Linked DNA regions of Caenorhabditis elegans. The protein of the gene in region 1 purifies or fractionates together with the protein of each later gene. This does not show direct contact. Each region holds a gene or a part of one and is shown on either strand. Other genes may lie near its edges.

Evidence for each region. The genes of interacting proteins can lie anywhere in the genome.
Region 2: the proteins of T07F12.1 (region 1) and dgn-1 fractionate together in Caenorhabditis elegans (co-fractionation; one large-scale study listed by BioGRID). This does not show direct contact.

What each region holds. Positions count from the first base shown.
Region 1 is NC_003284.9:4,891,856-4,897,709, forward strand, and holds T07F12.1 (Steroid-phosphate phosphatase), read left to right. Parts: upstream 1-2,199; 5' UTR 2,200-2,205; coding exon 2,206-2,306; intron 2,307-2,350; coding exon 2,351-2,469; intron 2,470-3,470; coding exon 3,471-3,569; intron 3,570-3,632; coding exon 3,633-3,743; intron 3,744-3,786; coding exon 3,787-3,915; intron 3,916-4,043; coding exon 4,044-4,336; 3' UTR 4,337-4,776; downstream 4,777-5,854. Other genes in the region: T07F12.2 (PA domain-containing protein), read left to right, coding at 1-137; T07F12.4 (Protein kinase domain-containing protein), read right to left, coding at 4,905-5,114, 5,238-5,407, 5,455-5,597, 5,806-5,854.
Region 2 is NC_003284.9:10,925,999-10,930,734, reverse strand, and holds the start of dgn-1 (Dystroglycan 1), read left to right. Parts: upstream 1-1,736; 5' UTR 1,737-1,839; intron 1,840-2,915; exon of another isoform or gene 2,916-3,120; intron 3,121-4,736.

The sequences.
Region 1 (5,854 bases):
GCTACTTCCGTGACCACCTCGAAGAGGGAGGAACCATCAAGTTGGACATTCCAGTCGAGAGGAACTATGCACCATGGGTTCATCACCAGAAGAAGGCTCCATGGGAGATTTGGCCAGATGAGGACCATTACTTCTAAATGAATCCTCTCAAAGCTTTAATAGTGACAGTTCAATTATCATTTCGGTTCTTTCTAATTTTGTGTTGTGATTTCCGACGTTTTGCCTACGGTGTCCCCATTCTGTCTCAGCTTTCCTCATTTACATGTCATTTTTGCATATTCTTTTTTTTATTTTTTTTTCTTCACATCAAAAATCTGGTTGTAACCTAATATTAATATTTCGTTATTTCTCTTTCACATACTTATCCTCCCGAGACATTGGATTCCGTATCGCCCACGGGTTATTCCTCCCCATTGGTTTTTCCCATTCCCGTTGTCTATGACAAAGTTGCCATTACAATGAATTTTTCAATATGTATGTTTTGAAATGGTGTAGATATGAGAAAATGGAACACCAGTGTCCTATGCTCTTTTCACTTTTTGTCATTTGTCAAATGCGGTGTGGCTATGGAGCACCACAAGCACTAGAGAAAGTTTTTAATTCTTTAGGCAAATAAAACTCAGCAAGTCGACCGCTTTCATTGTCTTTTTCTTCCGTTTCCTCTCACTGCTTTATATATCCATCATCCATAGTTAGTGACATAGAAAACGGTTTTTGACAATGAGTCACCGAGATTTCAAATCGTATTTCTTTTAACAGTGCTGCATTGGGATTTTACTTTAGTTTTTTTTAGTTATGTTAGTTGTTTTCTGAGTTTTTTTTAATTTCTATGTGAAACGGGCTTTGCAAATTTTTCAGACGCTTTTCTGGAAAACCTGATTTTGCCCTAAAGCCCTAAAATTTGATTCTTTTTGCGTTTGTTGATAATATTTTTAACTGAACAAAAGTCGGAAAATTTCACAAATTTTGAATTAACGCACACAGTATTAAAAAAAAAATTACAAAGTTATTAGAGCTCAAAACGCTGAATTACCAAGACAGTGCGCTAATTATTACGAGAATTCATATATAAGGAAAAAATACGGAAATAAAAGTTAATTGTGTTCCCATCTGATAACTTTTACTTTTCTTGAATAGTTTACATTTTTAAAATAGTTATTTTCGACAGAGTAAAAATAATTTCCCACTTAAATATTTTTTTTCAAAGTTTGCCTTGCTCAGCATTCATAAATAGATAAAAATTGCGCAACTTTTTCGCAAACGAAATAGGTTGAAGATATTAGTTGCACCCTATATAATTTTTGTGAAAGAAAAGTTTCGTAAAACCTTATTTAATTAATTAATTTAAAAAACATTTCCAATCAAATAATAATTAAACTTGCCAAAAATATTCAGATTTTTCAAACTTGTCGTGAAAGTTTTGGTAAATTTGGCTTTTTAAAAAAATTTTTAGAATCCAAACTTTCTGAATGCAAATAAAACTTTGTCAAAAATATTTTGATAACTATTTGCTCATTTTAGTACTATAAAACGGTTTTCTTTGCGTTTAACATGTTGAAATTTTGTGATTTTGCGAAATAAACAACTCAAAAAATAATTTCTAAAAACTAGTCAATTCAAAATATTTCCCACATTGGCACTTCCATCAAAAAAATGTCTTTTGAATTTGACTCAATTATGTTGCGCTCGTTAGATTTCGGTTTCTGTTCAACACACACCATTTTTCCATTTTAGCGAGGTCAAACCAATTTTTCGTTTCAAAAATTTTGATGCTTTTACTTTTACTACTACGTTTTATTTTGTGACAGACAGTTGCAAAGTGGAAAAATATGTCTCTTATCACTCGTTTTTGATTGCGCTATTATATGTAGGTTTAAATTCTATTGTTCACAATTAGAGCGTGCGACGGATTTTTATTGATCGACCTTGAGGTTCTGTCAATTGTTTGAATTGTGTCTTATACTGGTTGTAGAATTTGCTTGTGAAAGTTATTGGCACGCATCCAAATTCAGGTTCGATTCCACTGTTTTCTCCGTCTTTCTTTCTCTACGTTTCTTCAGCAATCATCACTCTCTAGGCGCTTGCGCATCTCTATTTCTGTTGTTTCTCCTATCGTATTTCTCTTTTCAATTTCATTTCATTTCATTTTGCATATGAATAATATTATATAAATATACTTTTCCATTTCGTTTGTATTCCAGATAAATGCCCGAGCGGAGAGTGTTCATTATCCGTCATGGTGAAAGATGTGATTTTGCATTTGGCAAGTCAGGACTTTGGATCAATTCATTTGACAGCAGAGGAAGGTAAACGTTATTTTAAGCATTCTAGAACAAGTTTAAGTCTGTAGATATCGCCCGCTTGACATCAATCTTCCCCGAACTCTTCCAAAACGTGCCGATGGATGGCAAGGTTTTGCTGCCGACACCCCGTTGACTGAAATTGGTTATCTTCAATCAAAATTGACAGGTAAACTGAAAATTTGCAATTTATTTGCAAAAATAACAATTACAATTTTCAAGTTTATTTCAATAATTTAGATAGATTATTTTTTGAATTTCATAACAAATTAAGTTGTTTGAAATTAAACCAGTTGCCAGTTGGAAAATTGTTTAGAGCCATAGCAATTTGATTTAGGCTGTTTAAGAAATCTTTGAAATTTCCTGAAAAATCAAAAAAAAACCAGCAATTTCCAAAATGACCAATTTTTGAAAAACAATTACTGAAAGTATGCAATTTTTACATTTTTAGTTTTTATAAGATCTCGAAGAGTTTTCCGAAAAAAGTGATTAACAAATAACTACAATTGCGAATTATGCCAAATTCAATTTTTTAAGTTTCGAAAAATTTCGGCAATTTCGGCAGCTAAAATTTTTGACCGCGTACCTTTTGTTTCACAGTTATCATAGTTCTGAAATTCAACTTTAAAAACATGTTTCTGCAAATTTTATATTCCAATGCAGTTTCATTAAATGTGCATTTTTATTCGAACTTATACAAAACGTCATTTCATTTGAATTTTGGCTATTGTCTTGTACAGAAAAATGTTGAAAAATATGGAATTTGTTTAAGAGCTTTAGTTGGTTATATTGAATAATTATAAGAACTATTAAAAAACAAATCATTATTAAATGCTCAAAAACACAGTTAAAATTTGAAAAACTTGAATTTATTTTTACATATGTTATTCGAGAAAGTTTAGGTATTTTTTTGAAAATGTATTTCAATTCGCACAACGTTTAAATAAAAATAATTATAAAAACATTTAAAATTACAAATTTATGAAAGATTTTATAAATCGTAAAAACAAGAGCTTATACTGTTCTTTGGTTTCTTTTCCACATCATTTCTAATACTGTACTGTATTTTAAATAGTTTTTTTTTTCAAAAAATAACTTTATTTTCAGTCAGAATTTGTCTAAACTATTATCTATTATGTTCTTCATCAACAAGACCTATTAATTTTTCAGGACGAGCATTACGTGACAATGGAATCGAAATCAACCATGTTTTCTGTTCCCCGGCTTTGAGGTGCATCCAAACAACAGTTGGTCTATTGAAGGGAATGGGTACGTCATGTTTCGATGTTTCCCGCAAGACAACTGACATCACTTAAAATAAACATGTTCTAGGTCTTGACAAGCGAATTCAGTTTTCCGTTGAACCTGGGCTTTATGAGTGGATGGTATTTGCAAGGTACGCAAGACCATGCTGGATTCCGCCAAAAGATTTGAAAAAGCTTGGTACGTATGCTCGGCGTTTAATTCCAATACTAAAAATGTTCAGGCTACCCTGTACAAGAAAACTATGTACCATGTTGGACGGATAAGGAGCTTCGAATGAATGAAACCTTAGCAGATTTCTATCAAAGATCGTTTGGTTCTATAAACAAAATTTTGTCGGAATGCACAGAAGGTGATTTCTTTTCTCAACTTTTTGACACTAGTGATCAATGTGTATTTCTCGTGATTTTCCTGTCTATCACCCTATGAACTTTCTAGCTTCTACATCTCATAAAACGTCACGTTAAATGTATATTCCAGGAAACATTCTCATTGTGGCTCATGGTGCATCACTCGAAACATGCACTCGGCAGCTGGTCGGCGGTGATATCAGATCAACTGACGATTTCTACTACCTACTTCAAAACACACCATACTTGTCGTGTGTAGAAGTGAACTCTCGAGAAGGATTATGGAGACTAGTGGGCAGCCCGATTCCGTCGTTTTCACACACGTACAATCGCACTTTTGATCCATTGCAGCTCGTCACAAAAGATTTGGCCTCGCTGAAAAGAGAACGAGAGGGAAAAGACAATATGAGGACCACTCAATAATCTTTTTGATAATTTGTAAGCCGAATTAATTTTTCTACGGTTCTGAATGCTAACATTTTTGGCGGGAGTTCTTTATTCGAATTTATGTAAATTGAAAGTCTTTAACTTTGAGCCTAACTTTTTATTGCCAGTGGGAATATTTTTCAAGTTTGCTTTTATAATGCTAAAATCTTTTTTAAAAAATATTTGAAATGACTCGATGTGGAAAATTTGAAAATTTACCATAATTTTGTCTGAAAATTTTTTGAAGATGTGTTATAATATTTAGTCAGTTTGGTCTATGGTCTCAACTGACGGTTCTCCGGCCTTTGATTAGTTTGGTTTTTCTTCAGTTTATCACCGACGTTGTTCATGATCTCAACTTTCTCCTGTTTTTTTATTCGATTCATATTCAAATTGTTATACTTTCAACTAATAAATCATTTTATTCGACAATCAATTAACATTCTGTGAACTTCGAAACCCGAAATTTGTTTTCTCTTTTCAAATATATTTCAATGATAGATCTACTTGTAGAGATATGAGATAACTCTTTGTAATGGTTAAACATTTAAAAAAAAAGGATCGGCTAACATATTTGTTGACTCCAGTTGATTGCTTTGTCATAAAACTGAGTAGGTGTGCATCTTTGAGTGGTATCGAGCTGCAGCAGTGATTGAATAATCCCCGAAACCTCTTGACTCAGCTCGTCGGGCAGCTCAGGCGGGTCGTAGGCGTCGAAGTTAGCCCCTGCCACATACAGGAAGAGCTTACACAAACTGCACTCATCGAATGGGACCTGCAAAAGAAAAATTGTGAATATGAAGTTATCTACGTCATTCTTCCACTTCAACTGCGAAGCCCCTGGGGAGTTATTTGCGTTTTTGTTCTTGGAAAAACTTTAGGGTTCGGAAGGACTAACCTCTCCTGTAACGCATTGGTAGAGAAGGCATCCGATGCTCCACATATCAACTTTTGAGTCATACTGACAAGTTTTTAAAAGGTTCGCTCCAACTTCTGGAGCCATGTAATAAAATGTACCCGCAACGTTGCACAGCTCTTCTCCCTCGTTATCAAGGGTTCTCGAAATTCCTGAAACAAGAAATGAATTAAATTACGTAATGAGTTCCAAAACACACCAAAGTCTGTGATCCGAGCACAAGCAATTTGTTTCGATGCATCTGTATAAGTGATCAGTATGTTTTGGGGTTTAATGTCCCGATGTACAATTTTCAACTCATAAAGCGCTTTGTATCCTCGGGCAATGTTGTCAAGAAGAAGCCTGAAGTGATTTCTGTTTGAAAGTTGTAAAAAAGTTTTGAGGAAGACATGCTGAAACTTCCTTATCCTAGCCCTCTTCCCTAGTTCCTGTTCCGTATTCTCTACTATTTACTTGAATCAAAACATGTTTGTGTGTTCCCCCCCCCCCCCCCCCCGTTCCCCAATCTGTAATGCAAAGAAAAGAAATGCGAGAATTCCAAATTCCTTACCTGAAATTCGACGGATTCAATCTTCCTTTGACCGAAATATTGCGCATGT
Region 2 (4,736 bases), 6.0 Mb from region 1:
AAGAAGTATAAGAATCTTTTTCAAAAGGTATTATTATGCAGTTATATCTAAACTGTAAATTTGAAAATTCAAAGTATCTCATATTCCTATATGTACCAGTAGTTTGTATTTTAAATTTCCAATTCAAAATTTTAATATGGAAATGATGTAAACACCATTCCGATTTTATTCCATTATTTTTCTCTCAATCTCTCACTCTTTTCAATTTTACTAGAAAACAGATTTTTATTCTTTCGAATAGAAAACCCTCTACCGTTCCTGACTCACCATTCTATCTCCTCACACACCACTTTCTACGACATTGCCTAACTTTTTGTGCGTTAAGTTTAATGTGCATTTGACCTTTATCAGTTACTCGTGTCCTCTTTCCTGTCTTGATATTTGATTTCAATCACCATCGAGTAATTAGTGTATTGGACACACATACCGAGAAACCACTAACAAGAAACGCCCTGATTTTATTTTTCCTTGAATAGCAGGACGGATCGTGTTAAATTCTAAATAACGTAGGACTGGAAAAATCACATTTTTATGACAACAGGGACTTTGTCGCAAAATTTAATTAGTTCTACATTTGGCCAGGACAATGATTACCGTGGCTTTATGATCAACAACATCTAGCGTGTCTTATCAAAAGCAAAAATTGTTGGAAATCCTAATTTTCTGTTTTGTTAGACTCTATTTTATTTCTTTTGAAAATCCATTACCGTTTTATGTTTTGAATAACTTCAAAATCAAACAAAACTACAGATTGATATTTGCAATCTAATATCTTCGTTTAAATTTCAACTTTTTTAAATGTGCTCTTCGAAATTAGTAAAAAATTTGTTTTATATATTTGCAAACTTCATATAGATATGAAAATATACATATGATAAAATGAAAATAGCTGTATTCCCTTGCCACGCATATAGACGGCGCATTCAAAAACTCATTGCACTCTGGTTTTTTTTTCAGAATTTTAATTACAATGGGGGTTATATTTCATGGGAAGAGCCTTTTTGAAACTCACCGCTTTTCTTCGCTCTATTGATATTTTTGATTTCCCTCTGCGTATGCAGAAAATAGTACAAACCACACTGACATTCATTGTAGTAACTCTAACTTTTATGCCCAAGAAAAGGCAAAAAAATGGTAAGAAAAACGTTTATGAAAGCTTTCTGTTTACCTACCTTGACCATTTTCTCTTTTTCCCCTATCCTCCAACGAGTGTACACACATTTTCGGGTATAATTCATCCGAATGGTTGGTGACAAGAAAAAAAAATGCTTCAAACTGTGTGCGTATGTTTTTCTTGTCAAAACCACATTCATAGTGTGTTATCAACAAGGAGGGATGCAACAAAAGAGAAAGCGAATTTTCCAGGTTGCATTCTTCATTTCGTACTTGCTATCTCTTTCCTCTGATAACCGTTTTTTCGGCAATTTCAATACCTCCTTGATTATATTTATGAGGTATGCAACTGACAGTGTTTCTTTTTCTCTTACGATATTTATTTTCACATCAAAACTATACACATTGCTAGCTTTTTTATTCTTTTTTGAAAAACCTATATTCATCAGATCTCAGAAGTTCCAATTTGAAAGTTTCTTCAATATGTACATTATCGTAAATTAGTCTGTCAACTGATACAAATCGCTTTTTGCCAAGTTTCAAAAGGACACCCCTTTTTGAAGTTTTCCGCTCCATTTCATGTCTTGAACGTATATGTTGCAAAAGTTACTTTCGATTTTCAGAACGACAACGTGTATTGAACCGAACTTGTGATTAGAATCGAAAACGAAATTTCAATTTGGCGCACCCATTTTTTAGTCCCGGCTTATTGATAAACACATAGAGGTGAGACTTTTTTTAATGCCAGTTTCGAACGCGTGCCCGGAAGTTTTTCGAGGCATTAAAAAAATTTTCCTATGTAACTAAACAATTCTTTTAGTCTTATAAAATGTTTTACTAAATCTCGTTTCCTGATATATGTAGTTTTGTACACAGAAAACGAGATGTTTTCTTTTGTATTTGCCTGAAAAACTTATTCTGCTTCTTGGCACAAATCCAAAAAAAGCGGCGTCATGTTTGTGCATTCAAAAACACTTCAAAGGTGTACGAAGCCACAAATGTTGTGACTACTCATATGTGTACAGAGATAGGTGTTTCAAAAAAAATTTTCGTACGACTTCAGAGTGACGTCCTTATTTTGAAACATTCACTTAACTCGAAAACATCCTGGTTTTTAGGTATTATATGAATTGTCTGCTAGTTTTTTTTTTTCGAAAAACCGAGTTTTTTCTCTAAATAACCTAAATCTTAACAAAAAATGTTGTTTTCCGTTCTTCACGTTTTTCGGTTTTTCAATTTTGCGGTGTGGGTCAAAAAGCCGAAAAACCCAAAAAATCGAAAAAAAATTAGGGTCCAGTTTGAAAAAGTGCAATTTATGTATGTTGTTTGTATGAAATAGGGCGTCATCAGTAATAAAAATATTGCATTCTGTATAAAAATACCGATTTTGGAGTGTTTTCAGAATTTGTTTTTGCAGTTTTCTCAAAAGCGAAAATTTCCGTTTTTCAGTTTTTTGAAGAACCAAAAAATCGAAAAAAGTTTTGGCGCACATAAAATGTTTTGTTATTCTCAAAAAATTTCGTCCCTACTAAATTTTACTCAACAATGTTCGTCTTCGCAATTCTCAAAAGAAACAAAGTGGCCCAAGATCTTACGTCAATCAAAACATTCAAAAGACTAGAATAAGAAGGCCCACTGTTTTTATAATCTTGTTTTTACACTCACTTAGCAAATCCGGCACTCTTTGTTCGGTTGCTAATAAGGTGTCAAAGTGACAATTGAAACCCCTCTGAACTGACTCAATAAAAGATAAGATGGAAAATAAATCGAATCTCCGTTTTCAATATGTTTCGGTCGGTTTCTTCTATTTATATGCAAAATTCATTCGAGACACCATACCAAAAGCTCCCGTGGGAGCTGGCCTTCTTATGTCGGTCGGTTCATGGTCCGTAGGGAGTGTCGGAAGGACGGAAGACCACGAAGGAAACGTCTTTGTTTGTACGGATCGCTTATTTATTATGCAGATTGAATATTGGCCACCGCTTCGTTCTTCATCTGTGTTCGGCTTTATTAGACTGCTCAAATGTTGCATGCCATTTTCCTCCTCCTCTCTCTTCGTAGCCGTAACGTATCGCATGTCCATTTCTGATTAGCTCTCGTCATCCGTTCTTCTTTCATCCTTATAAATATCACCATCCGTCTTGAATTGACCAAGAAAAATTGTAATTGTTCCAAACGGACCCGCATTGTACGTCTGAACACCCAGTCATTAGGCTTATCTTCCAATCGTTGCCTCCTCGTTTGCTCCATCCTGCACACACCTGGCCACAGGTACGGTGACGCAACTTTATGAGGTTGAGCCGACCAAATAGGACCATCTCCGTCCTTCCCCACATTTTTCGCCTCTCACTTTATATGTTTGGTCAACAGGGCTTGCCTCGTGCTTGACCCTACCCATACGCACAACTTTCTCTTTTTTGCTGAGGAAACTTTTTTGACGCGGGGTTTTTTACTCGAAATCTACGCTATCCAAATCTGATTTCTGTCCAAACGTCCTTGTCCATTCCTTGACTCTTCTCAATTTGATGATATGTGATGGAATCGTGCCCCCATTTGTGTGCCATCTCTTCAACGCAGGAGCTCTTTTATGTCGTTACAAGCATCTGCTTCAACGCGCGCAGCTGCACACAGTGCCATTTCTTGCCCTCGTTGTCGCGTCAAAAGTATTGCACAATACGGATAGATTACATAAGGAAATCTGTATTCAATCAGATGGTTTACGATCTGCCCGGTGGTGAATAGATATTTTCAACAGCTTATGAGAAAATCGGCTCCAAATTAATATGAATACGGTCACATTGAATAACTGAATTTATGATCTAACATTTTGAATTAACTAAATTTGCACTTCTCTGATTATGCTTATATAGTTTAAAGATTTTACCGCAACATTACAAACTTTTAATCCTCTAGTCTGATAATGATTTATGTCCGCTTCATTGTGAGCGACCAAAAAACTTTAGCTTGTTCACAGGAGTGTGCTTCAGGAATTTTTCAATTAATCTCTTGTGATATCACTTTCTTTTTTTTTGCTCTTACACCAAATATTTTTTTGGAAAAATTGTCAAAATTGACTTAATGGAAGCTGGTGGCTGAAAAATATTTGAGGAATGATTCATGATTTACCGTTTCATTTTTTTATTAAAAAACAAAAGTCTAATACTTTTGGTTCCTGTCAACATGGGGATCCGGACAATGAGAATGAGACGAACGCGCTGACTACTAGCAGTCGAAGTACGAAACCAGAACAATAGGCGTGTTAGTCTCAGTTTTAGCAGTACGTTTTGTCTCCGGTGTTCCCGTGTTAGAAGTGTATACAATTACCCTTTGCACAGTGGCTGTCGATTCAAGCAATTCGAGAACGTTAAGCCAGGTAATCCATGCCTAATAGATGGCAAACGGCACCCATCATCATCCTCATCGTTCATTTAATTAGCACGTTCGTTTCATCTTCAATACGTTCCTCACTGGACGTTAATCCAACCAATTTCGCGCACGGAAAGGTGTCAGAACAATGAACTGAGACGATCATTTCTCACTGGGTTTTTGTGTGTTCTTTTTGTGAAATAAGGTAATCCTCAGTCACAGGTTGTCAACGGAGCACTAGTGTCAGTCAAATGTAC